Cricetulus griseus: one gene and its partners. Each later gene encodes a partner of the first gene's protein in a complex. Links are inferred from orthologs where the notes say so. Each region holds a gene or a part of one and is shown in the gene's direction. Other genes may lie near its edges.

The links. Proteins that work in one complex are often made in the same cells at the same time.
Region 2: the proteins of Ecsit (region 1) and Acad9 are in contact, whole or in part, in a cryo-EM structure (PDB 8PHE), measured with the Homo sapiens proteins. The link is inferred for Cricetulus griseus from reciprocal best matches to the Homo sapiens genes ECSIT and ACAD9. Residues at the interface, in NP_057665.2 of Homo sapiens: Pro321, Glu322, Glu323, Trp324, Asn325, Leu326, Tyr327, Tyr328, Pro329, Met330, Leu332, Asp333, Leu334; in NP_054768.2 of Homo sapiens: Leu180, Thr181, Asp188, Ala189, Ala190, Ser191, Ile192, Lys228, Lys239, Asp240, Lys241, Ile242, Phe293, Ala296, Met297, Leu300, Ile431, Met434, Tyr435, Leu438, Thr439, Leu441, Gln442, Gly445, Thr449, Leu516, Gly520, Lys521, Ile523, Met524.
Region 3: Ecsit (region 1) and Tmem186 share a complex: the UniProt entries of both Homo sapiens proteins name them as parts of the mitochondrial complex. The link is inferred for Cricetulus griseus from reciprocal best matches to the Homo sapiens genes ECSIT and TMEM186.

The regions. Positions count from the first base shown.
Region 1 is NC_048597.1:134,976,863-134,984,912, reverse strand, and holds the start of Ecsit (evolutionarily conserved signaling intermediate in Toll pathway, mitochondrial), read left to right. Parts: upstream 1-3,055; 5' UTR 3,056-3,178; exon of another isoform or gene 3,179-3,186; intron 3,187-4,682; exon of another isoform or gene 4,683-4,797; intron 4,798-8,050.
Region 2 is NW_023276806.1:113,496,868-113,505,092, reverse strand, and holds the start of Acad9 (complex I assembly factor ACAD9, mitochondrial), read left to right. Parts: upstream 1-3,826; 5' UTR 3,827-3,873; coding exon 3,874-4,044; intron 4,045-7,086; coding exon 7,087-7,180; intron 7,181-8,225. UniProt on the Homo sapiens protein: As part of the MCIA complex, primarily participates in the assembly of the mitochondrial complex I and therefore plays a role in oxidative phosphorylation.
Region 3 is NC_048600.1:38,134,052-38,142,414, forward strand, and holds Tmem186 (transmembrane protein 186), read left to right. Parts: upstream 1-3,964; 5' UTR 3,965-4,052; coding exon 4,053-4,115; intron 4,116-5,212; coding exon 5,213-5,860; 3' UTR 5,861-7,455; downstream 7,456-8,363. Other genes in the region: Pmm2 (phosphomannomutase 2), read right to left, coding at 1,005-1,116, 3,787-3,840. UniProt on the Homo sapiens protein: As part of the MCIA complex, required for efficient assembly of the mitochondrial complex I.

The DNA.
Region 1 (8,050 bases):
TTTTTGAGACATGATTTCTCTGTGTAGCCCTATGTGTCCCAAGACTTTTTCTATAAACCAGGCTGGCCCCCAAAATTGTAATTTTTAGAGATGAATTACAGAGTTCTCATATGAACTTATTCCCAGCTGCTTATGTTAACTTTTTGTTTTGTTTTGTTTTTTGAGACAGGATTTCTCTGTGTAGCTTTGGAGCCTGTCCTGGCACTCTCTCTAGAGACCAGGCTGGCCTCGAACTCACAGAGATCCGCCTGCCTCGGCCTCCTGAGTGCTGGGATTAAAGGCATTCGCCACCAACGCCCGGCCTGCTTATGTTAACATTTTTTAAAGTTATATTAACATTTTTTAAAGTTGTTCGTGTGTGTGTGTGTGTGTGTGTGTGTGTGTGTGTGTGTGTGTGTGTGTGTTCTCATGTACATGAGTGTATGTGTGTGCCTGCAGGTATCCATGGGTGTTGGACCCCTCCTGGAGCTGAAGTTGTAACTACCAGTGGTTGTGTGCTGCCACATGGGTCCTGGGAACTGAACTCACTCTCTGCAACAGCAGCAAGTATTCCTAACTTATGAGCCATCTCTCCAGCCCCTAATGTTGACCGTTATAAAAATAAATTAACTTTTTGGTTTGTTTGTTTAGTTAGTTGGTTGAGACTCTCATTTTGTAGTCCAGACTGGCCTTAAACTCACAAGCCTCCTGGCTCAATGTCCTAACTCTGGGGATTACAGGTGTGCACCACCATGCCCAGCTCAGGAAAACTTCTCCATCTGCAGAGCTACAGGCTTCACGAGGATTGTTTGCTTTCTTTTCCCATCCCCCCACTTGTGTCCTTTGTCTAGGTCAGGAGACCAAGCCAAGATCCTTGCGTTTAGTTTCAACCTCTTTAGATTCTCCAGTAGTTGTTGTTCCTCAGCCATTTGTGAGCCTGACTCCTTCGACAACCCTCAGCAGTGATTTTGATTTTAGATGGTCTCATAATTTGGCCCTGATTCAACAGAAGCTTTTCGGGAAAGATACCAGAAAGGTGACAGCGTGCTTTCTGTGTGTGTCATATCCAGGGCATGTGACGTCACAGTGACTCATGGCTGGTGATGTGGACCATGGTCCTCTGGCTGCCAGGATGTCTACCAATACTCTCTACTATTTTTCTAGGATTATTCCAAGGACTGCAAGATAGAGACACTCAGATATACTATACCACATACAACTGACCCAGGGATACATGGCTCAGTGAAAGCACTTACTTAAAGCAACTAACTGGGGCTCATTCCCTGGTCCTTTTTGTTTGTTCTTAAATTTTTTTATTGCATTTATTTACTGGTGTGTGTGTACCCAAGCACACAAGCCAGGACACACATATGGGAGTCTGTTATCCTTTCCACTGTGTGGGCTCCAACAATTAGACTCAGGTCTTTTTCTTTTTTTTTTTTTTTTTCCAAGACAGAGTTTCTCTGTGTAACAGCTCTAGCTGTCCTGGAACTCATTCTGTAGACCAGGCTGGCATTGAACTCACAGAGATCCACCTGCCTCTGACTCCCAAGTGCTGGCATTAATGGCGAGTGTCACCACCACCCAGCAAGACATGAGTCCTGTGACCTCAGTTTCTTCCAAACACAGAAAAAAAGAAAAAGAAAAGAAAAGATTCATGTTGTGTTTTCTCACCAGCACAACTCCATTGGTGGACTGTGTTCTGACAGGCCTTGAGCTCACAGAGATCTGCCTGCTTCTGCTTCCCAAGTGCTGGGACTAAAGGCGTGTGCCACTATGCCTGGACATTAGATTACAAATGGAGTACCAATTTTCGACTGAGGGCTGTTTTTATAAGGCAAAATTGTAGGGCTGGAAGCCCGAAGATTTCAAAACTTCCGTGGTTACACAGGACAGGACAATGGTATGTGCTTCAGGCAAGGTGCAATTAAGCAGGATGCTGCAGAGGAAATGAGTTTGTTAATTATCTCCTGGGCTGGGGACTTCTACAATTGATAACTATCTGATCCTCTTTGGACCAGAGGAATGTCGACACTGCTCAAGAGTGTGATATCTGGTCCTGTGGACCTTTGTTTAACCTTGTCTGCTGGGCTGCCTTTTGGGAACTCAGAATTTTCTATTTGGGCTTTGGAGTCCAGGTTTTAGACTTTTATTAATTTTCCCCTTTCAAAAACAAGACTCCACATTCAATCATTAGACATACATATAATAATTCGATATATATGTGTTTATATACATAATCAATATTATCTATACACGCACACAACAGTTCCAGGGCATGATCACATCACCTACACATACACTCCAAAGGCCTCTCAGCCCTCAGTGTAGGCAGTTTGAAGAGTAAACCCAGACTCCCTGTTGGGGAGGGAGAGAGGGGTGCCAGGAATGCATGTCCTTTTCTCACAGTAGCCCTTGTTGTACTTATATGGCTATTTTACATAGATGAATTCAAATCTCAAAGATTCAGATTAAAGGGGGCTAAAAGTGCTTGCAACCATGCATAATGACCCAAGTTTCATCCCCAGTATCCACTTGATGGAAGGACCATTTCCCCTAAATTGTCCTCTGGCCTCCACGCGAATGTGCTCACTTAGACGCACACAAAATAAACAAACATAACTTGGAAGGAACCCTGTTAAAGCTGCTGGCGGCGCGGCCCACCTGAAGTTCCAGCTACTCGGGAGGTTGAACCCTCAGGACTTCTGGAGTCCGGGGTTTTGAGAATAGCCTGAGCACCATAGCAAGACCCTGACTCAAACAACTCAAAAGCAATTGTTTGGTAACATTAATACACCCTGGGGCTTGGGGCTGGTTGGGAGTGTGCTTGCTCAGCACGCAAGAAGCCCTGGGTTCCATCCCCACTCTGCACTGAACCGGACGTGGTGCTTCAGGTCCCTAACAGTATTTCGTCTGTAACAACTGACATTCCATCACACTTCGGGTGAGGAAACTGGACGGGACGGACTCGGCGCCGCCGCGGCAGGAACCCAAGGCCCCAGGCTCCCGCAGTTGGGTGAGGGGCAGGGATCAGTGCTCTCCCTCCTTCCTATTGGTGAGCGTCTCCTTGAGGGCGGGACCTATCGTCTCTGGCTTTTCCGATTTGCTGTCGCCTTCGGCCGGTAACCGGAAGCTCTGTGACAGAACATGAGGGCTGCCAGCGGTGGCACCTAGCCGGCTGTGTACCGCCGTCGGCCGCGTGAGTAGGTGGGTCGCGCGTGGGAGGGCGATGGGACAGTCTGGGGTTCAAGGGCGTCCACCTCCAGGCCTGGTAGAGCCGGAGAGGACAGCCTTCACCTCGGCCGCAGGGTGAGGGCCCCGTGACCTTTGGGGCTCGTGCTTGGGGACGGGCGAGGAAAGGCTGCTCGGCACCGTGTGCTTAAATGTCCGGTTTCGCGGGTGCTGGAGCAGCTCAGGGAGGCCACGCAGCCCTTGTGCGGTGAGGCAGGCTTTGGAGACCTGGGAGCGCGGCAGCCCACGCACACACGTACATACACGCCACCTCGCTGTAAGGATTCATCTGCTTATCCGTACTCAGATGGTCGGTGTTGGGCACTTACCATGTACTAGGGCACTGTCCCTGCTGGTGGAGGCATATAAATGAGAAAAACAGATTAAAAAATATATTATCTAAGAGAGGCAATTGCTGAGCAGATCGCAAACGGAGCAGATCATTTCGTGACTTCAAATAATGATTGTTGCAGTGTGTTCCATGAAACAAGAGTCTTTATGTATCCCAAGCTGGCCTCGAACTCTTTTTTTGGGGGGGGGCGCGGGGTGGGGCGGGTGTTAGAGACAGGGTTTCTCTGTGGCTTTGGAGGCTGTCCTGGAACTAGCTCTTGTAGACCAGGCTGTTTTCAAACTCACAGAGATCTATCTGCCTGCCTCTGCCTCCCGAGTGCTGGGATTAAAGGCGCGTTCCACCACCGCCTGGCTTGGCCTCGATCTTCCTGCTCCAGCCTTCTGAGTGCTGGATTACAGGCACGCACCAAGATGATAAGCAGTAGGCAGAGGGTAAAACAAGTTCAAAGCCTGTGAGACCAATAAACTTGTCTTGTTTCAGAAACAGTGTGGCTGGAGCTACAAGGATAGGGGCAGTTCAGCAGGTAGACTCCATATGAGGTCGATTTATTTATTTAATTAACTTATTTTTATTTCATGTACATTGGTTTGCCTGTATAAGGGTGTTGGATTCCTTGGAACTGGAGTTACAGACAGTTGTTAGCTGCCATGTGGGTGCTGGTCCTTTGGAAGAGCAGTCAGTGCTCTTAACCACTGAGCCATCTCTCCAGCCTCCCTACCCACCCTTTCTGATATTTACTTACTTTGAAGTTTTTTAGTTATTGGGGTGGGGTGGGACACACATGTGTGCCATGTTGCATGGTGGAGGTCAGAGGAGAGCCAGGGAGTTTTATCCATACACCTTATGCTGGTTCCTGGGATTGAACTCAGGTCATTAGGCTTGCATTGTTGCAGCAGCAAGTACCTTTCTCAGTTGAATCTTCTGTCCTGGCTCTTATTTATTTACAGTTTAGACGGGACTTTATGGTAACTCAACACTGTCATGAGCTCACTAATTACTACCAGCTGGTCTGATACTGGATGCAATTCCTCCTGCCTCAGACTCCACACTGCTGGCTTTACAGCCACAACACTTGTCTCAAGTCTTGTTTTTTTGTTTTTTTGTTTTTTTCCTTTTTGAGGTAGAGTCCTACTATGTACCCTGGTTGGTCTGGAACTTGCTGTGTCTATGTAGATCAGGCTCACCTCAAACTCAGACATCTGTCTGCCTGTGTCTCCTGAGTGCTGGGATTACAGGTATGTGCCATCACACCCAGCATTTTTATGTGTTCATGTGTGGGTATGTGGATGTATGTTAGTGCATGTACACATATGCACATGTGTATAGGAGGACAAATGTCAAACTTGGATGTTGTTCCTCAGGAGCAGTCCACTTTGTGCTTTGAGACAGGGTCTTTTCACTGGGACCTGTGGCTCACTGATTAGGCAGGCTGGCAGGCCATCGAGCTCAGGGACCTGCCCATTTCTGCTTCCCCAGTGCTGGGATTACAAGTGCATGTCACCTCACCTGGCTTTTTATGTGGGTGCTGGGGATCAAACCCAGGTCCTTGGACTTTCAGGGCAAGCATTTTACCAATAAAGGCATCTCTCCAGCCCCTTAGTTTGCATTGTTAGAGCTTTCTTTTCCAATGGAGGGAAGTAACTACTGGACAGGAGAGAGTGGACACCTATGCAGGAAAGCAAAGCCGGTCCTGGTGCTGTGACCTACAGCAAAGGGGACAGATTGGGAAGTAGTCTCCAGGACTGTTGGACAGACTGAATAAGGACATGGTGGACTCTAAATGACTCCTGCTTTATGGCTTGAATAGTGAGGAAGGGTGGTAACCCTGGCTAACCTCCAGATCAAAGGTATGTCTGTTGGTATCCCATGACTGGAGTTTGAGATGGCTGGTTTGTACCAAAATTATGTTTAGGTATGGGGTGAAAACATGAGGGAACCATGAGCACTCACTGAGAGTATTCACTGCTCTGATTAAACATGTAAGAGCCACCTATGGCTGTCACAGTGCATATTCCCACACAGGATATCTGAGTTAAGAGTCAACATTTTACAGGTCCTAGAACACAATCTGCAAAGCAAAGGTTTAGATTCTTCTTATCTAACTATATGCCAAGCAAGTATTCTACCATCAGCCCCTCACTGGGGCAGTCTAGGCAAGGGCTCTACCACTGAACCATGCCCCCAGCAGCTCACTGGGGTTCTCACTATGCAGCCCTAGCTCGCCTGGAACTTACTAAGATCTGCCTGCCTCTTCCTCCTGAATACTAGGAATAAAAGTACATTACCATGCCTGGCTCAACTAGACAAAGGTGTGTGTGTGTGTGTGTGTGTGTGTGTGTGTGTGTGTGTGTGTGTGTGTGTGTGTGCGCGCGCATGCGCGCGCACACAAGGATGGAGCGAGTGCCAGGACAGGCTCCAAAGCTACACAGAGAAACCCTGTTTCGAAAAACCAAAACCAAACAAACAAACAAACAAAAAACCCAACCCTTATTTGTACATCCCTGAGTATGTATATACAGATGTGCCATGACACCAGCACAGAGGACAACTTGTAGAATTCAGGTCTCTCCTTCCACCATGTGGGTCCTGGGGATCAAACTCAGGTCCTTAGACTTGGCAGCAAGCATTTTTTACCCAGTGAACCATCTCACCAGTCCCATCTCTTTTTTCACCCTGGGTATTTGAGATAGAACTCAGGCACTTACCAACTGAGCTGTCTCGATGGCGGCTCTATTTCTTTCTCTTGCCTGAGTGCTACTACTGGAAGTTCTGGTGCAACACTGAGAAGTGGCCAGACTGCACACCCTTGTCTGGATTCTGAACTGTGGCAAAAGAATCTCTCATTGGGCATGGTGGCACATGTCTTTAATCCCAGATCTCAGGAGGCAGATCTCTTGAGTTCAAGGCCAGCTGTGGAGGGCGCAGCTTACAGACAGCACTAGAGAATGAAGAAACTGACACCTGTTTTCCATCCATAAGGCCATGAGTGGATGTGACTGCTATTCTGTAAAGCCAGCCCTCATCGAATCCCCAAGAATCCTGAGCATTCTCTGTCAATAGAGCCCATCCTCATGAAAGAGGTCGAGTGTGCTTTACAAAAGAGCCTGCTATTATGCTTATTCCCCCTAGACTTCTAAGTACTATTTCTCAGTCAATAGAACCCATCCTTTGCTGGGCAGTGGTGGCTCACACCTTTAATCCCAGTACTTGGCAGGCAGAGGCAGGTGGATCTCTGTGAGTTCTACAAAGCCAGTTCAAGGAAAGCCAGGGCTGCATAGAGAAACCCTGCCTCGAAAAACCAAAAAGAACCCATCCTGATGCTTATTACAAACCCTTCCTCCCTAGGCTCTTGTCCTGATCACTGTTCTCAGTCAGCAGAATCCATTCTTGTGGGAAAGGTCATAGGGGCTTTGCTACAGAGATGCACTTTGCAAGGCAGTTTCCATGTAGTCATGCCTAATGCTTTGTCAGGATAATTGTCACATGACATGCAAACTTTTTTTTCTAAAATTTTACTTTGTTTAAATGTGTAAGAAATAAACCACTTGACATTAGACTCCAGAAGTTTGGACCCAGCACCAGCTAAGTTGTGCTTAACCTCATCCAGATTGTCTCACCATTGATCATGACACTTACAGGGAACCCCACAGCCAGCCTGTTCTACATAGTGAGACCTTGTTTCAAACAAATAAAAAGTAAGAGTTTTCTGCATTGTCTGAAATAATGTAATTTGGGGTTTTTGTTCTATTAATATATTAAATAAATTTTCAGATATTAAACTACCCTTGCATTTTGGAGACAAATTCTCTTAGCTATGATGTAGAATCCTTTTTGTATGTTTGTAAATCCACTGCAAGAGAACTTTACAGCTATATTCAAGAGGCAATGATTTGTAGTTTTCTTAGTGTACCTGTGGGTTTTGGTATTAGTGTATCCAGGCCTCAGAGAACATGTTAGGAAGAGTTTTCATTATCCTTGCTACCATGGAAACTTTCTGGAGGTGGGTGTGTTGGTATACACCTGTAACCCCAGCACTCAGGTAGAAGCAAGAGGGTCAGTTTTAGATACATAGCAAGTATGAAGCCAGCCTGGGCTACAAGAAAACCTGCCTCAAAAAACAGGGAAAGAGCTGGGCGTTGGTGGTGCACGCCTTTAATCCCAGCACTTGGGAGGCAGAGGCAGGTGGATCTCTGTGAGTTCGAGGCCAGCCTGGTCTATACAGAGAAAGCCTGTCTTGGGGGAAAAAATGAAGAGTAACTTCCAGGTATGAGCCAGTGAGATGACTCGTTGTATAAAGGTACTTGCTGCCAAGCCTGAACAACTGAATTTAATTCTAAAACTCACATGGTAAAGAAAAACCAACTTCACGCTATCTCTTGACCTCCACAAAAGTGCATGTACAGTGGATGCATGAGGTAGGCACACATACACACAATAAATCAATAAATATAATTTTAAAAATTATCAGACTTGGGGCTGGAGAGATGG
Region 2 (8,225 bases), on another chromosome or scaffold:
TGTTTTCCTGGTCTGCTCGGCTGATGTGTTCCCAGGGAATTCCTGCTGGTGGTGAAAGCTGGGATAATGGGATGCTTTAGGGGAAAGAAGGCTGGAGAACTTTATGATCTTTTGGACATGGGGTCAGAGCTTGGGAGGAGGCTAAAATAAAAATATTTTAACTAGCTATTGTATAATTGTAACAATATAGCTTGATAGGGACAGATTCTTAAATAAGCCCTAGCAATAAGCACAGCTCTAAAGACTAACCCCTAATCACCTATGCTAACATCATAATGAGAACCCCTAATTCCTAACTAACATTAACATTTTTCATAGGGAGACTACTGCTGTAATGAAACACCATCAACAAACGCAAATTGGAGAGGAGAGGATTTACTTTGTTTACATTTCTACATCTGAGTCAATCATCAAATGAAGTCAGGACAGTAACTCAAGCAGGAACTTGGAGGTGGGAGCTGATCCAGGGGTCATGGAGAGGTGCTTCTCGTTGGCTTGCTTCTCATGCTTTGCTCAGCCTGCTTTCTTATAGAACCCAGGATCATCAGCCCAGGGGTGGCCCCACCCACAATGGGCTAAGCACTGCCCCAACCATCAATCACTAGTTAAGAAAATGCCCCATAGGCTTCCCTATTGCCGGATCTTATAGAGACATTTTCTCATTTGAGGTTCCCTCCTCTCAAATGACTTTAGCCTGGTTAAGGTGATTTAAAACTGGCTAGGACAACTGACTTCTTATTAACTTGACACAAACACACACTGTTCAATTAGAACATTTCCTTTCTCATTTGTCCCCAAGGTAGCACATTAATATCAATATTATAAAATACAACATAAATAAGTTCTAAGGACCCAGTCTTTACAAATTCAAATGCATTAAAAGCTCTCTTCAAAATATCCAGTCTCTTAAAAAACCCAAAATGTCTTTAAAAGTCAAAATCTCTCAACTATGGGCTCCTGTAAAATAGGAAAATAAGTTACATACTTTCTTACTTCATGAGAGAAGAACCAGGGCACCATAACAACCTTAACAAAGCAAAATCAAACTCCAATGGTGTAAACAACCCAGGTATCCAATGTCTAGTGTCCACTTCTGATCTTCAGAGCTCCTCCAGAGTGCACAGGTCACTTCTCCAGCTCTGCCTCATGCATAGCTTATCTTCTAGGATTGGGCTGACTCCACTCCATGGCTGCAGCTGTTTTTGGCCGTTGTCCCATAGTTCTGGCATCTCCAAAATTCTGGGGTCTTCTACTGTAAGTGGGCTGCACTTTAACCAATAGCCTATGCTAGGCTTTCTTTTTGGTGCCAAGCCTCAACTCCTCTCCATTACACCTTCAGTTTTTGTACTTCAACTGGTATTCGGGGTGTACCTTCACCAATGGTCTTTTCTGGCCTCTTGCAGTGACAGCTGCTCTCCAGGACCCCTTTATGCTTTCAAAACCAATACCACCTGAGATTTTTTACACATGATCAAGTTTGGTTGCCAGAACAAGGTACAAGCTTGATGGCCTCTACAAGACAGCTTGTGTGTCTGATCCTAAGGAAACACTTCCCAGAAGACTCTGCTTCGGTGATGATGGTGTCTTCTTAATCACCACTAGGCTCTCAGCTCCAGCTGACCAGCATCAGTTGCCCCAGGACAACAAAGAGAAACCTTTGTACCTTGCTGGTCTCTTGTTAGTCACAACTCACTCTTTAGCCCCAGCAGACCAGAATGAGTCTTTATCTAAAATAGCAAATGGCCCTTTAAACCTCCCTCTGAACTTCAGAAGCCAGGCCTCCATCATCTGCACTGCTTTCAGTATTATCTTCGTACTTCCCACATTACACCTCATCTAAATCCTAACCCTCATCTAACCCCAAAGCCTACCCTAACCTTTAGTATTGAATACATAATGTTGGGAAGTGAGGACTCAAGAATGACATAGGATTAAGGTTTAATCAGCTAGGCTCCGCAGTAAATACCATTGCCTGAAAAGCAAAAACATACCCAGGACCTAATTAGGTATTTTAAAACATGCTGAGTTTGAATTGCTCATACAATACACAGATAGGTTAAGTACAACTGGACTCCTGGTTATATCCAGTCTAGAACATGAGTTTGGACAACACTAGCAGATTACACTGTCGTGGGGACTCCTAGGTCACCTGGAGATCTTAAATCAGTGGAGCAGAGGGTCAGCACCGATGTCAACCTTTAAGAGGGCAGTCTGTGGGCTATCAAGATGGATTAGTCACTTGTGACTAGGCCTAGAGACCGAGCTTCAATCCCTGAGAAGTTGTCTTCTGCCTCTACACATGTGCTCTCTCTCCCTCTCCCTCTCCCACACATAAATATCTAAATAAATAAATAAATAGGTGAATTGAGTGCTTTAGTTAGGGTTTCTATTGCTGTGATGAAAAACCATGACCAAAAGCAAGTTGCAGAGGAAAGGGTTTATTTGGCTTATACTTCCACAGCACTGTTCATCACTGAAGGAAGTCAGGACAGGAACTCAAACAGCGCAGGATCCTGGAAGCTAGAGCTGGCAGAGGCTATGGAGGGTGCTACTTACTGACTTGTTCCTCAATGCTTGTTCATCCTGCTTTCTTATAGGAGCCAGGACTACCCAGAGATTATAGGACCACCCACAATGGGCTAGACCTAGTCTGTAGTTCAGGGACCTGGAAAAGTCCCTAAGTGTACTAGTCTTGTTTTTTGCTTGCATAGTTTTGATTCTTGCTAACTGTTCTTGCTAACCATAGAGTGTCAAACATGCTTTCTGTGCATAAAAGGCAAAGAACAGTCAGGCTCTGGGCTACCTAAGTTGGGCAAGTACCCTGTGTAGCTGGCAAATAAAGACTTTCTATTGGTCTTAAGAGCCCACCTGTTTTCTGAGGAGTTATCTTGCAACAATGAATGCCACACTGGTTCACTGGATGTGACCAGCCCAGAAACAAAGGCATCACAGACATAGGAATAAACCCTGATGTGAGAGCTGGACCCTGCCTCATCTTACTTCCTCTAACACATGACATTTCATAAAAAACCATGGTGTTTATAGTTTCACAGGGAAGGCCATTGACATAAGGGAAGTGACTTGCCCAAGGAGTGGTGGAGAGAGCAAATGTCTGAAGATTGTGGCCATCAAGGGCCAGGTTAACTGGTGTATGACAGAGGGAGTGGTAGACTTAGGAAGGCATGAAACAGCATGCCATTATCGCTTTATGTTATCTCTCCTACAAAAGATATCACTCCACTAACATACTGAAAAGGATTTGGTAGAGGTGGGTTAGTAAAATGGGGCTCTTGTTGTTTTTTATACTCATTTGATAATATTCTAAGTACTATATCAAGTGAGATGAGAACAAAGCAAGGTTGTGATTCTAAGTCTATATGCCTAAATTAGTCTTCTACTGAAGGGACCTGGTGAGAATAAGCACATAGACTCCAGGGATCCCGTTTTCGGGAGCCCAGATAGTCCTTTAGCAATTTGACTTCTAAGCATTTTTGCCTTATTGGGAAAATTGTAACAAGAAACACACACACACACACACACACACACACACACACACACACACACACACTCCTAGCCTGTTCGGATGGTTGAAAAAAATTACAATTTCTGAATTACATATTCAGAAGTTACATACAGCATATTCCGGATCGACCCGTTTGACAGCCTTGATTAAGGTTTCCTCCAGAGCGGAACATCATGAGGCGGCGCAGCCCGTGCATTATTAAGAAGCGCGGACTAGCTTCCGGTTGCGAGCTCACTTAGGGAGAGACTTTGGCTACTCCGCCTGCGGAAGGCTTATCGGACGCGGGTGATTTGCGTCATCAGGAGCCCGGGGAGCCTTCCGGTGACTTAAAGCCTGGTGTCAAGAACAGCATGTCTGGCTGCGGGTTCTTGTCTCGTGGCGCGGCGGCTCTGGCCGCGGCGGCGACTGCTGTGCGAGCTTCCCGAGTGCCTAGGATCTTCACGGGGACGCACCGCCGGCTGCACACCAGTCTGCAGAGCTGCTCTTTTGCCAAGGAGCTCTTCCTGGGCAACATCGAGCAGGTAAGGCAAGCCCTGGCTCCCTTGTCCTATTTCCACCTTCGTTGGTACTTGGCCGGAGTCCTTAAAAGACAAACGCCGGAGAGGCTGGGCTCGGGGAAATGTGGCTTTAATAGGGTCGCGGAGGTTTTTGTTTTGAGACAGGATCTCCTTAAGTATTATTAGCCCAAACTGCCTCTGGACTCACTCCGTATACCAGGCATGCCTTTAAATCGTGACTCTCCTGCCTCAGTCTCCAGAGTAGTGATTTAGAGGCGTGTGCCATCACACCTACCTTTCCAACTATTCCTTGTCAGGGAAACTTGGGAAATCCTTGAAGTGGTTATTACGAAGACATCATCTCCTTGTCCAGGCTGGGAGATATGATTTCTAAACAACTCATTCCGTGCAGCTTCTCTGGCTTACCTTCAGCTCTGCGACTTCCTCCAAGTTTCCTTTCCCCTTTCAGAGCTCCACAACCCAGCTTGTAGCAACCTCCAGGCCATCACGTTGAGAGTGAGAAGGCTTTTCTTTTCTTTTCTTTTTTTTTTTTTTTTTTTTTTTTCGAGACAGGGTTTCTCTGTGGCTTTGGAGCCTATCCTGGAACTAGCTCTTGTAGACCAGGCTGGTCTCGAATTCACAGAGATCTTACCTGCCTCTGCCTCCCGAGTGCTGGGATTAAAGGCGTGCGCCACCAACGCCCAGTGAGAAGGCTTTTCAATGAATTTGAGTTCGATTCTTTTTAGTTGTGTTGTCTTTAGACAGTCTTCTTGTTAGACCCCTGGAAAACTCAGGCTTCCAGGGTCTTAGCCCACAACCGTGGTCACCCAATCACCAGGTGGATTCGAAAACTTGCTGCAAACTTCATGAGGCTTTATTGTTGTTGTTAGCTCGGGTCTTTCACCCACCCACCGTGGCAGATGGCTAGCAAAGACACCTCGGAACCAGCTGCATAGAGATCTTGTAGGGCAGCGTAAGGGGCGTGTCTAGGGGTACGCACAGGCTCAGGATTGGTGTGCTTCCATGCTTGGAGGGCTTGCCCTGTGTTGATTGGCCAATTGGTTGTTATGGCCCTTAGGCCCTCCCAGGGTGGTTGCTATGCTCTGTGTGTCATTGCTGAGCACTTGTCTGTAAAGCATACCCAGAGCCGTAAACATAGTGCCACCTGCTAACTTCTGATTGGTTCCTTGCCATGAGGCAGGCGTCTGACTTCTAGAGACTAGGACAAGGTCATGGCAAGCACATGTTACTGTCATGGCTGCCGAAATGGGGAGCTGGTCCCTTCATTCTCATATTGTCTATAGCCCTCTCTTTTCATCTACAGCAAGCCTCTTGATGAACTAATCAGTGTCCTGGCTTTAAATATCGCCTCTATGCCTATGACTCAGATTTACTTTTCACCTTAAAGTTCTTCCCTTAATTCCAGACCTATATCTTCCTTTCTGCTCAAAATCTCCCCGAAAATGTCTAATAAGCATCTTTGATAAGCGTATATAAAAAGTCTCCCCTGGATCCCACCCACTGTTGCCTTTCCCAGCAGCTTGTTTACCACAGATAATGGAAACTCTGATTCAGCACATTCTCCCGTGACATCTTGATTCTTCTTATTCTCATAGCCCACATTGCATCCTATAGTAAGTAAATCTTTCTTTGTCTTCAAGTTACATTTAGAATCTGACCACTTTTAGCTACTTCCTGGATCAGTGGAACACAGTTCTCAAAGCATTTCTAGACCTTGATCAGGACAGTGGCAGTGATACTTTAGAGTCTTGTGGGAGGGAGTGTCTCAGTTACCCATGCCAGTGGCTGCCACAGGGACAAGTGGGAGATTGAATGGGTGAGGTTTGTGTGACATTAGCAGACTGACCTACAGCCAGTTGGCTTTCTGTTTGTTTGTTTGTTTGTTTGTTTGTTTTTTGTTCTTTTCGAGACAGGGTGTCTCTGTGGCTTTGGAGGCTGCCCTGGAACTAGCTCTTGTAGATCAGGCTGGTCTCTAACTCACAGAGGTCTGCTTGCCTCTGCCTCCTGAGTGCTAGAACTAAAGGCATTCGCCACTTGGCTTTTATAATTGACTTCTGCAGTTGAATTACTTGAATAACAGGTTCTGTTGCTTTACCAGCTTGGAAGATGCTGATTGAAATCAAGCTCCAGTCCCATGGTGTGCCTCATTCAGTTCTGCCTCTCATTACTAGAGGGTATTTTCCTCCTGGCCCCCAGAATCTCCTCATGAAGTTTTATGTTGTTTGCTTTGGTTTTGTTGTTTGTTTTGTTTTGTTTGGGGGGCAATTGTATTTGTTTGGTGTTTTTGTTGTTGTTGAAATGGGAGCTTGATGTGTAGCCCTGGCAGGCCCAAGATTCACTATGTAGAACAGGCTAGCCTTGAACTCACAGGAGTCCACACTAACAGAGGACATGAAAGTTGGTTAAATCCAGTCACACAGGTAAAGTGTGGCTAAGTCAGGTTGAATTCTTGTCCTGGGATCCTGAACCTCTAATGTTCAACACAGGAAGCCAGTAGCCATGTCCTAAGAAACAGTTGCTCAAGGGAAGACATGCATGGTGATTGGAATATGTTCTTACTGTTGGGAACATTTGAGCTCACACAAAGAATGATTGATGTCTGTTTTAATGAAGAGTCCTCATAGCCATTGTCTCACACAAGTCTCAAAGGAATCTTGGGGAAACGTGGCCTGCACATTGTTGGTGAGAAAATGGAAGTACTGCTGGAATCTGACCTCAAAACTAGTAAATAAATAGCAGGGCATCTAAATGGAAGTCCCCAGCTACTTGTTTATAGGACACTCTGCACCCTTATTAGTGATAACAAGGGTGAAAATTAAGATTTAACTCTCCTGCATGTACAAGAAAATAGATAACAATAGAGCCTTAGACGTAAGCCCATCCCTGAAGGATCTTGTGAAGTCATGTCTCTCTCTGCCTCCCTCCTGGGACCAGATGTGTAACCTAACTCATTTCCCTTCCCTTCCCTCCCCTTCCCTTTTGATAAACACTATAATGAGAAGTTCCTGGAAATTGAATTTGTCATACTTGTTTTTTACTTTTTAGAAAGGAGTTTTCCCATTTCCAGAGATTAGTCAAGATGAACTTAGTGAAATCAATCAGTTTGTTGGACCAGTGGAAAGATTCTTTACCGAAGAAGGTGTGTATGGTTTTCTTTGTCATTGTCTTCCCAGGGTCAATTGGATTGCTTACATAAGAAGCCCTATAGAGAGAGGAAGCTCTTAGTGTGGTTATTAAATTACAATAGTTTCTACTCATAATAGGACCTTCAGGGATCACTCAGTTTAGTTAAAAGACACTAATTCAATACTCCTCTAGTCTCTGTGGTAAGGAACCTCTTTGAAATGTTTCTACACTGCAGCAGGCTAAAACTTGTATATAACATAATTAAAGTGAGTAACTAGAAAAGATGAAAATAGCTGAGGTCAGGTAGTTCACATACTGTGGCAAAAGCTATGTAGTTTTAGAAGCTTCTTTTGGTGGCTTTTGTGGAGTTTCTGTAGACGACTGTGTTGCTGATGAGCAGTTTTCTTCATGTCCAGCCTGGAGTTCTTGTCTCTGACCTTCTGCACTGGCCAGACTTTCATTATGATGTTGACCAGGTGGCAAGGCCAGGCTTCCTTGTCGTCTTCCTTATTTTAGGGACATAGTAGCACCCACCTGTTATCCTTAGGTCTTGAGAGGCAAAGCAGAAGGACTGAGATTTTTGAGAGACCAGATTACATTTAGGGAACCTTCAGTTCTCTTTATTGACTTGTGTATACATAAGTATAGATTATGATGTTTTTAACACTTTACAATAGTGATAGTGTTGGATTTCATAGCCAAAGTATACTTTAATTAACTTGATGCATACAGACAGTACAATTATAGACATAGAGCTGGTGATTGCTCACTTCTACTCTTGCATGGGGTTTTGCATTTCTTTTATTTAGTGTGTGTTTGTGTGTATATTCATGTGCGCATTGTATGCCATGGCATGTCTGTGGAGGTTAGAATATACCTTGTGAAAGTTGGGTCTCTCCTACCATGTAAGTCCCAGGTATCAAACTCATGTTGTAAGGCTTGACAGAAAGCACTTTATCCACTGAGACAACTCACAAGGCCTAGTATGAATTTTGAGTCAGTGGCTAAGTTAGTGTTACACGGAATAAGTTGTTCCTAGAACCTATGGACTATAGTGT
Region 3 (8,363 bases), on another chromosome or scaffold:
AGATGGCACAGAAAAACCCTGTCTCAATAAACAAACCAAAAAAATTATTTGATATGTATGAGTATTTTACCTGTATGAATGTATGTGCACCTTATGGGACTGGAATTAAAGACAGTTGTGATCTGTCATGTGTGTCCTGGGAACTTTCATAAAAGCAGCAAGTGCTGTTAACTGCTAAGCCATCTCTCCAACCCCACCTGACATCAAACTTGTGACTCCCGTGTCTCAGCCTCCCAAGTATCTGGCTCACAGAAGAGCACTCCACACTATTTCTCACGGGCCAGCTACCCCAGAAACCCTGGGAAAACAGAGAGGAATAACACATAGTCTGTAAGACAACAAAGACTTTATACCAGAGTGTGCTCCATCAGCAGGGTTGGGATACTTGCTAATATATATGTTCAGGTCTTAGAGACCTGCTGTTCCATCATCTCCAGGAAAGAAACCAGAAGATGCTCCAGCGAGGTGTGGTGGTTGACGCTGTCACTCTAGCACTTAGGAGGAGAAGATGTAGCTTGGGCTACAGAGTGAGACCCTATCACAAAGGCTCTCTAGCTTCCTAGTCCTGTGCTGGAGACCCTGGTGATGTGGATCCTAGTGACTCTCATGATTAGGAAACCCTGGAACACACTCCATCAGGGCTACAGGGACAAGGTACTGAGACCATAAGTATATACAAATCTGAGTGGACAGCATAGCCAGGAGGTGGGGTTTGGGCTGAAGTGAGAGAGAAGTAAGGGACATGTAAAATAGTAGGGAGAGAAAAGGTTCCACAAGTGAAGACAGACATGTACTTCAAGGTGAGTCTGTCTACACCTGAGTGTAGGGTTCTGTCAAAGGATTAAAACAAAGGCCAAATAAGGGCAGAGAAGATGTTTTCCCAGAGAAAGCAGAAAGCATGCTATGTGAGTGATGGTGGTTTGGGACTGCAGGGGACACTTGGCGGCAAGTCTCAGTACCCTCATGAGAAGTTAATCTTGTACTAGAGTGTAATTAGCACTTACCATCATTTCCCAGTTGCTCTTGCACTTTCTCAAAATCTGACCCACCTACCACTCCAATTTTGGTCTTCTGCCTCAATTTTTGTAGAAAGTCATCCATTTCTTTTGTAATTTTCTGTATGTCAGGAAGGAAAATAGGATGATTTGAGTGACAATAACCAGATTGAAACTGCAAACTAATTTAGTTCCTGTTTTTACACAAGCCCAGTGCTTTTACTAAGTGTGTAGAAAAATTACTATTTAGTTATATTTATTCACATTTGTCTACTCACTTATGAATGTTTATGGTGTTCTCTGTCCTGTGCAATGACTTGCTTTTTCTATTTTATGTTGTGGTAACCTTTTATGATAATACATACATCTAGTTTTTCTTTTTTGTTTGTTTTTGTTTGAATATATATGTTTGTATGCCACAAGCATACAGTGCCTGAGGGCAGAGATCACTTGGAACTGGTGTTACAGATGGTTGTGAGTCACTATGTGGATGCTGGGTCCTCTGGAAGAGCAGCCAGTGCTCTTAACCATGACACCATCCCTCCAGCCCAATCTTTTGTTGTTTAAAGGTGTTTCATGTTATATACATATGATTTAATATGTCAGAAGTGGGTATAGTGTCAAGAGCTATAATACCAACACTTGGGAAATGGAGGCAGGAGGATCAGAAATTGAGGGTCAGGTTTGGCTACATAGTTGGATTTCCTAAGACTGTCTTTTAACAGACAAACAAAAACAAAATACAAAATGGTGAAGGAGCATGACTGTGATTTAGAAAGTTACTAAGAGGAAACACAAAGTCATTTTGATTAAATATCAGCTGCTTTTAACCTAAGTGACAGGGATATGGGTTCTCTGTTCACTGTATTTGTCAATGATCTTTCTATGTGAGATTTTTTTTTTTCAGGATGCCAGAGTTGGAATATGATTCATGGAGGCCTGTGTCCTTATTTATTTATTAATTTATTTTTTGAAAACTTTTCTTAAGTCTTACTCTTTAGGGACGGAATGACATTTGATTTGGAAGAAAGCACCCAGGCCAACAAATTTCTACACAAACAGGAAATGTGCAGACCTTTGAAGTTCATGCTAACCAGACTGGATCCATGCAGGTCACATCATATAACAACAACTGCAATAAAAGATAGCCTGTTCTTCCTCTTCCAGACCGCACTGTGATTAGTAACGTCTAAGAATACACATGGATGGAGGCGGGAAGGGCTGATGATAAACAGATCTGCTGCCAAAATATTTGAACTATAGTACCAAGCATATAAAAAAAATTCTCTTTCAAATTACATTTTCTTTTATTGTCACAATTGCTTATGATCACTGCAAGCATATTGTTTCAAATGTCTGCAAGGAAATACACTCTGGGTCACCTGGCTTTTTTGCTATTCTGTATTTCATGTTTATCTATCTTCATTTACTTGGGAAACAGAAGCACTTTCTCAGTAGCATATCTAGTACCCAGAGTGGCCTCCACCCTAGCAGAGTGAAAGGAAATTGGACAACTAACAGTGCCCTGAGGACCAGGATCTTTAACTACAGCTGCTATGAGAGAGAGGCAGTCAGGGCTTCACTGGTTTCGGTTTCCTTACATTTGAATGGTAGAAGCTGGGTGGTGGGGGCATGCACCTTTAATCTTAGCAAAACTGCAAGTTCAACACTGTACAAAGGCTTAGAAATGTAGACTCCTGGCCACTATGTCTCCTGGGCCAACTGAACAAGTTTGTTTCTATAATAATTTTATTTTTATTATGTATGTATACGCATGTACATGTGCCACAATGTACAAGGAGAGGTAAGAAGACAACTTGTGGGAGTTGGTTCTGTCATTCTACCATGTGGGTTCCAGGAATTGAACTCAGGTCCCAAGGCTTAGGGTTTAATGACTCTACCCACTGGGCCATCTAAGCGGCCTCTTAATAAATTTATTAGAACATAGCTACTCAGTTTACATTTGGTCTATGGCTGTTTTTGCACTAAAGTTGAGTAGTTACTACAGGTCATATGTTCTACAAAGACAAAAGCCCTTTACAATATATGATTTCCGCTTCCAGCTCTAGACTACTATTGGCTCTTGTTTTGAGGCAAGTTCCCCAGGTTTGCCTCAAACTCACTATATGGCCCAGGCTCTGAACCCTCAAATCCTCCTGCAGGGATTAAACCCTATGCCACCTGCCCACCTTACTATCGACTTAACTCATAAGTGTGCATTGAGCAATGAAGCTGAGTAAGGGTTCTGGAGAACTTGTGGTTGAATGCCATCACTAGATAATTCAAACTGTGGCTCAGAAAGGCTGATTGTGGTAGAGAAGGGGTTGGGGTGGTGCAAGCGTCTCCTCTTTGAGGCTTGATGTGGGCGCGGCACTGTCACGAATTTCTGTTATCCTCACACACACCCCATGCAACAGGCAATACACCCGTTTAAAGTGGACTGGGGACTCCGAGGAAGTGATTTGCTCAAGGTCAGACATCTGAAAACCTGCCTTTGATATACTAGACGACACAGCCAAAGGTGACAGGGCTGGGAAAGTGGTACAGCAGGTCGGGGGGGCTAAACTGGAGTTACAATCCGGGCCACCAGTCCCCAGGACCCCCAAAGAAATTCAGACCCGAACTTTAAGACTCCGAACTCTTTCCTGTTCGGAAGAGGTCGTTTTTTGCCCCGTCTTCCTGCGCACCCCGCTCAGGACCCACGTCTCCTGGTCCCCGGGCGGTGGTCACCGCGGTCTGGGTTCTGCACGGGCTCCGCTCCACAGCCGCGAGCCTCCCGGGCGCCGCCTACCTGCCGCGGGGCAGTCAGGGTCCCATCCACGTCGAAGAGACAGAGCGCGGCCATGATTCCACTCGGAAGATTTGTTGGCACCCGGAACTCCACCCGGAACTTCCGGGTTCATTCCGAGCCCCGTAGCCCAAGGCACGACGGGAAAACGATGATTCCCTAGTGACTCACCGAACACTCACATAGACACAAGATTTAAACTACAATCCCCGAGATCTAACACTTTGTTTTTGGTTTGCGCATGCGGATTTTTTTTTAACTTTCCGCTCATGCGCTCTTCGAGTTTCCGGGGACAAGTCGGTTTACTTTTCACAGCAGGAGACCGTATCATGGTACGGAGGGCCGGTAGTGGGCGGTGAAAGAGGGTACGCAGTTAGGGGACCCTGGTCGAGCCTAGGACTGGCAGGAAGGATGCCTGGGCCGCCGATTCGGGAAGTGTATTATGATCTGTTATTTCCCAGCCTCCTCCGTTCCCCTTGGGTCACGTGGGCGGTCAGAGTCGCTACGACTCCTCGGGCGCGCATCAAGTCCAGGGCCTAAGATTACCATGTCTCGCTCAGCATATTCTGAGGCTTTCTTTGGAAAGGTGCACAAGGATGCACAGCTAGTGTCCGTGAGAGCCCGCCTCTGACTCTGAAGCTCAGAATTTGCTCACTTGCTACTCATCCAGAAAAATGTTGTGCAGTGTTTTGAAGGCCTCCGTGTCGCATTTCTCCGCTGTTCCCCCTTTCCCAACCAGGCTAATAGATAGTAGTTCTACCGTATAAAGAAGTCGGGAGAAATGCAAAGGTACTGTGATAAGTACCCCAAAGTTTTGATGCTTGGGTTTCCCACTGTGACACCGATTGGTTTACTCCTTGAGGAAGTGTCCCACAGACTTGTGGACCTAAGTTCGAGTCCACTGCTGGCTCGTCAGTAGGTCTTTACTGAATGTCTGAAAGTAAACCTTTCCTGTGTTTACTTGGACCTGCCTAAGGGAAAGGACCGGCCTGAGAGACCTGGCCCCATTCATTCTGTTGAGTTTCCGTGCCCTTGCGGGGGAGGGGACTTAGTTTTTAATTTAAAAAAAAAAAATCCTGGTGTGTTCAATGTGCATATGCTTGTGCCGTGGCATGTGGAGGCTCAAGGACATCCCTGCATGAGTAATTTTTCTTCCGATACTGTGTTGGCTCCAGAAGTGCAATTCAAGTCATCTGGCTTGGTGGCAAGCACCTTTACTTATGGGATATCTCACTGGCTGGGATTAGGGTTTCTTTGTTTGTTTGTTTACTTGTAAAAACAGGAGTATGCACTTATCCAGAGCAGAATTCCACAAAAAGTGAAGCCCCAATGGCTTTCTAGGGTTGGTTGGAGCCTTTCTGGAGGAAGCTTTGCCTTGTTCCTTGTGTGATTATTATGGTTGAATTCTGAAAGAAACTCTCTTTTCCAGTCTGTCTTCCTTCGAGCTGTGCCAAGATTTCAGGGGCCAGCCACATGGGGGAGACCTCTTCATCGGCTGTGGTGCTGCACTGGGCAGGGGGATTCCAACAGGTGGGTGGCTAGCAAGGCTCCCACCTTGCAGGAGAAGCCACCAGGCACAGAGACGGAGAAATTCCATACAATCTACCGATTCAGAGCCATCAAAAGATTTGGGTTTCTATCTCGACTGAAGTTGGCCCAGACATTTCTGACTGTGACAGCCCTACCCCCAGGCTTGTACTGGTACTCACAGGGCCTCCTGAGTGTCAAGTCACTCTACCTTATGAGTGGAGTCTCTTGCTTCACCCTGGCCATGCTGTGTTGGATGAGCTACTTCTTCCAGAGGCTGGTGGGCTTCATGTATGTGAATGAGTCAGGTACTGTGCTTCGAGTGGCCCACCTGTCCTTCTTTGGGTGGCGACAAGATACGTATTGTGCTGTGTCAGACATAATACCCCTGTCAGAATCCAAGGAACATGCCCAGGATCTGTTGGTACGAATCCAGCAATATGGTAGCAAGAAGACCTTCTATGTCACCCTGCGCTATGGCCGAATCCTGGACAGAGAACGTTTCTCACAAGTGTTTGGAAACCCAACCACACTTAAGAAAAACAACTAAGCTGGGCATTGGTGGCGCATGCCTTTAATCCCAGCACTCGGGAGGCAGAGGCAGGTGGATCTCTGTGAGTTCGAGACCAGCTTAGTCTCCAGATCGAGTGCCAGGATAGTCTCCAAAGCTACACAGAGAAACCCTGTCTCGAAAAACCAAAAAACAAACAAACAAACAAACAAACAAAAAAAACCAACTAGGCCTTTGGTAGCCCTGGTTACACTTGGATTTTAGACAGGAAGGCCAAAAACATTAATGAGGCAGAAGCTAATAACCAGGGCCTGGGGCTGAAGCTCAATTGGTAGACTGCTTGTCTAGCATGCAGGAAGGGAAACCCTGGGTTGAATCCCTAGAACTGCATATAACCAGGCATGGTTGTGCGTGTTTGTACTTCTCCATGTAGATGGAGGCAGGTGGAGAAGTTCAAAGTTGTGTTGGGGCAAAAAAGAAGATATTAACCAACTTTAGGAAAAAGCCCTTAGTGGAACATTGTACTGAATAGGACATTCCAACAGATAGTGACTAGAAGTTTTTATGAAGAGGCACTTCTTGGAGGAATGCTATGCCAAGGTCACAGAGGCAGCCCACTGCTATGAAACCAGAGGCAGGAGGGTTGGCAGAGGAACACAGACTGTGGAATTACAGGCTTACAGCATCGATAAAGGCTTCTAGCCTGCCCTGCACCCCTTGTGCTCACCAGCTAGATGGCCAGCACTGAAGCCCACTCCAACTGAGGTAGGGACAGCACCCGGCTGAGAATGCTGACCACCAGGAGATCCAGGGCCGCTTAAACTGGGGAGCTTTGCAGTGTCATCAGGACAGAGGGACACCAAGCAACTTATCAGCTGAAGGAGACTGTGTATGCTGCTTTTCATAATGGGTAACACACATGCTTATTAGGTGAATTGTGCCTGTATAAAGAGGAAAGCAGAAAGCAGCCATCATTTTTGTAATTTGACCACCGAAGAAGCGTTGTTAGTAATTCCCCCCTCCCCCCCACCAAGACAGGGTGTCTCTGTGTAGTCCTGGCTGTCCTTGAACTTGCTCTGTAGACCAGGCTGGCCTTGTACGACATACTACCTGGCCAGTAGTTTCCTTTCTTGAAGAATTGTTCTTTTAAAATCACATGTATTTATTTGTGTGTGCCCGCTGTGCATATGTGGAGGTTGGAGGACAACTTTTCAGAGTCCTTTTCCTTGGGAATTAAGTTCGGGTTGTCAAGCTTGGCAGCAAGCACCTTTAGCCACAGAACCATCTTGCTGTTCCTCTAGTCATTCTTCATTGCTTTAAAACGGAGCATGAACAAAGATAACAATAAACATACCAAAGTGTGTGTATGAGGAGCAGGGATAGACACAACAGAAGGCCTCAAGCCACACAAAGAACTACAGGCAACTCAAGACTTCTGAAAGCAGGAGAAATAGCCCTCCTCAGGGAAGAACACATCAGTTAGTTACCAATAAGAAATGGTCGGCCCTGAAGACACACACATGCAAGTACAGACTGAGCAGGTTGTATTTAGAAGCATATGCATATGGGAGAGAGGAAAGGGATGAGGAAAATGATGTAATTGTGTTGTAATCTCAAAAAAATAAAACTTAAAAATGTGCATATCAAATTGTGATGATTTTTGTTTGTTTGTTTTTGGAGACAGGGTTTCATTGTGTAGCTTTGGAATTTTCTCTGTAGACCAGGCTGGCCTGGAACTCAGAGATCCTCTTGCCTCTGCCTCCCGAGTGCTAGGATTAAAGGCGTGTGCCACCACCACTGGGCCTTTTTTTTTTTTTTTTTAAATTGTAACAATTTTTATTGGTCAGGGGCATAAAGCTCATCCTCAGTATTGTACAGCCATCGCTGTTGTCTAATTCTGATGCTTCCATTGGAGAGGTAGAGGCAGGCTTGGGGCCAGCCTGGTCTACAGAGCAAGCTCCAGGACAGCCAGAGCTGTTACACAGAGAAACCCTGTTGCAAAATATAAACAAAATTAATGCTTGACTGTCCCAAATAGGATCTCAGTACTTGGGCCATAGTCATCACCTGCCTTCATCCTCTCTGTCTTCACTTGTTTTTAGGCACTGACTAATCTGTCTCTGAATTTGTAATTCTGACATCTTGTGTGTGTCCTCCTGTGTTTGGCAGCTTTTACTTGGTGTAATGTTTTCACAGTGTTGAGTCTATTAGAGCTTATTGCTTACACATGTCAGTGAAAATGAGTTTATTCAGGACTTGACTCTCAGATGAGAGGGGGGATTTTACCAACTCAGTAGGTCAGTGGGTGTTTGGGTTGTCTTCACCCCTGGACTATTGTGAAAAACACTGATGTAAACAATATGCAAGCACCTGTTGGTTTTCCTGCTGTGGCTTCTTTTGGGAAAATACTGGGAAGGAAGTAAAGACATGACACAGGAAAACATGCTCCCAGTGACCTAACTTCCAGTATGTCCCACCTACTGTTTTGTGGTTTTTTTCTTATCTAAAGTACTTTTTAAAAAATATTAATGTATTTATGTTT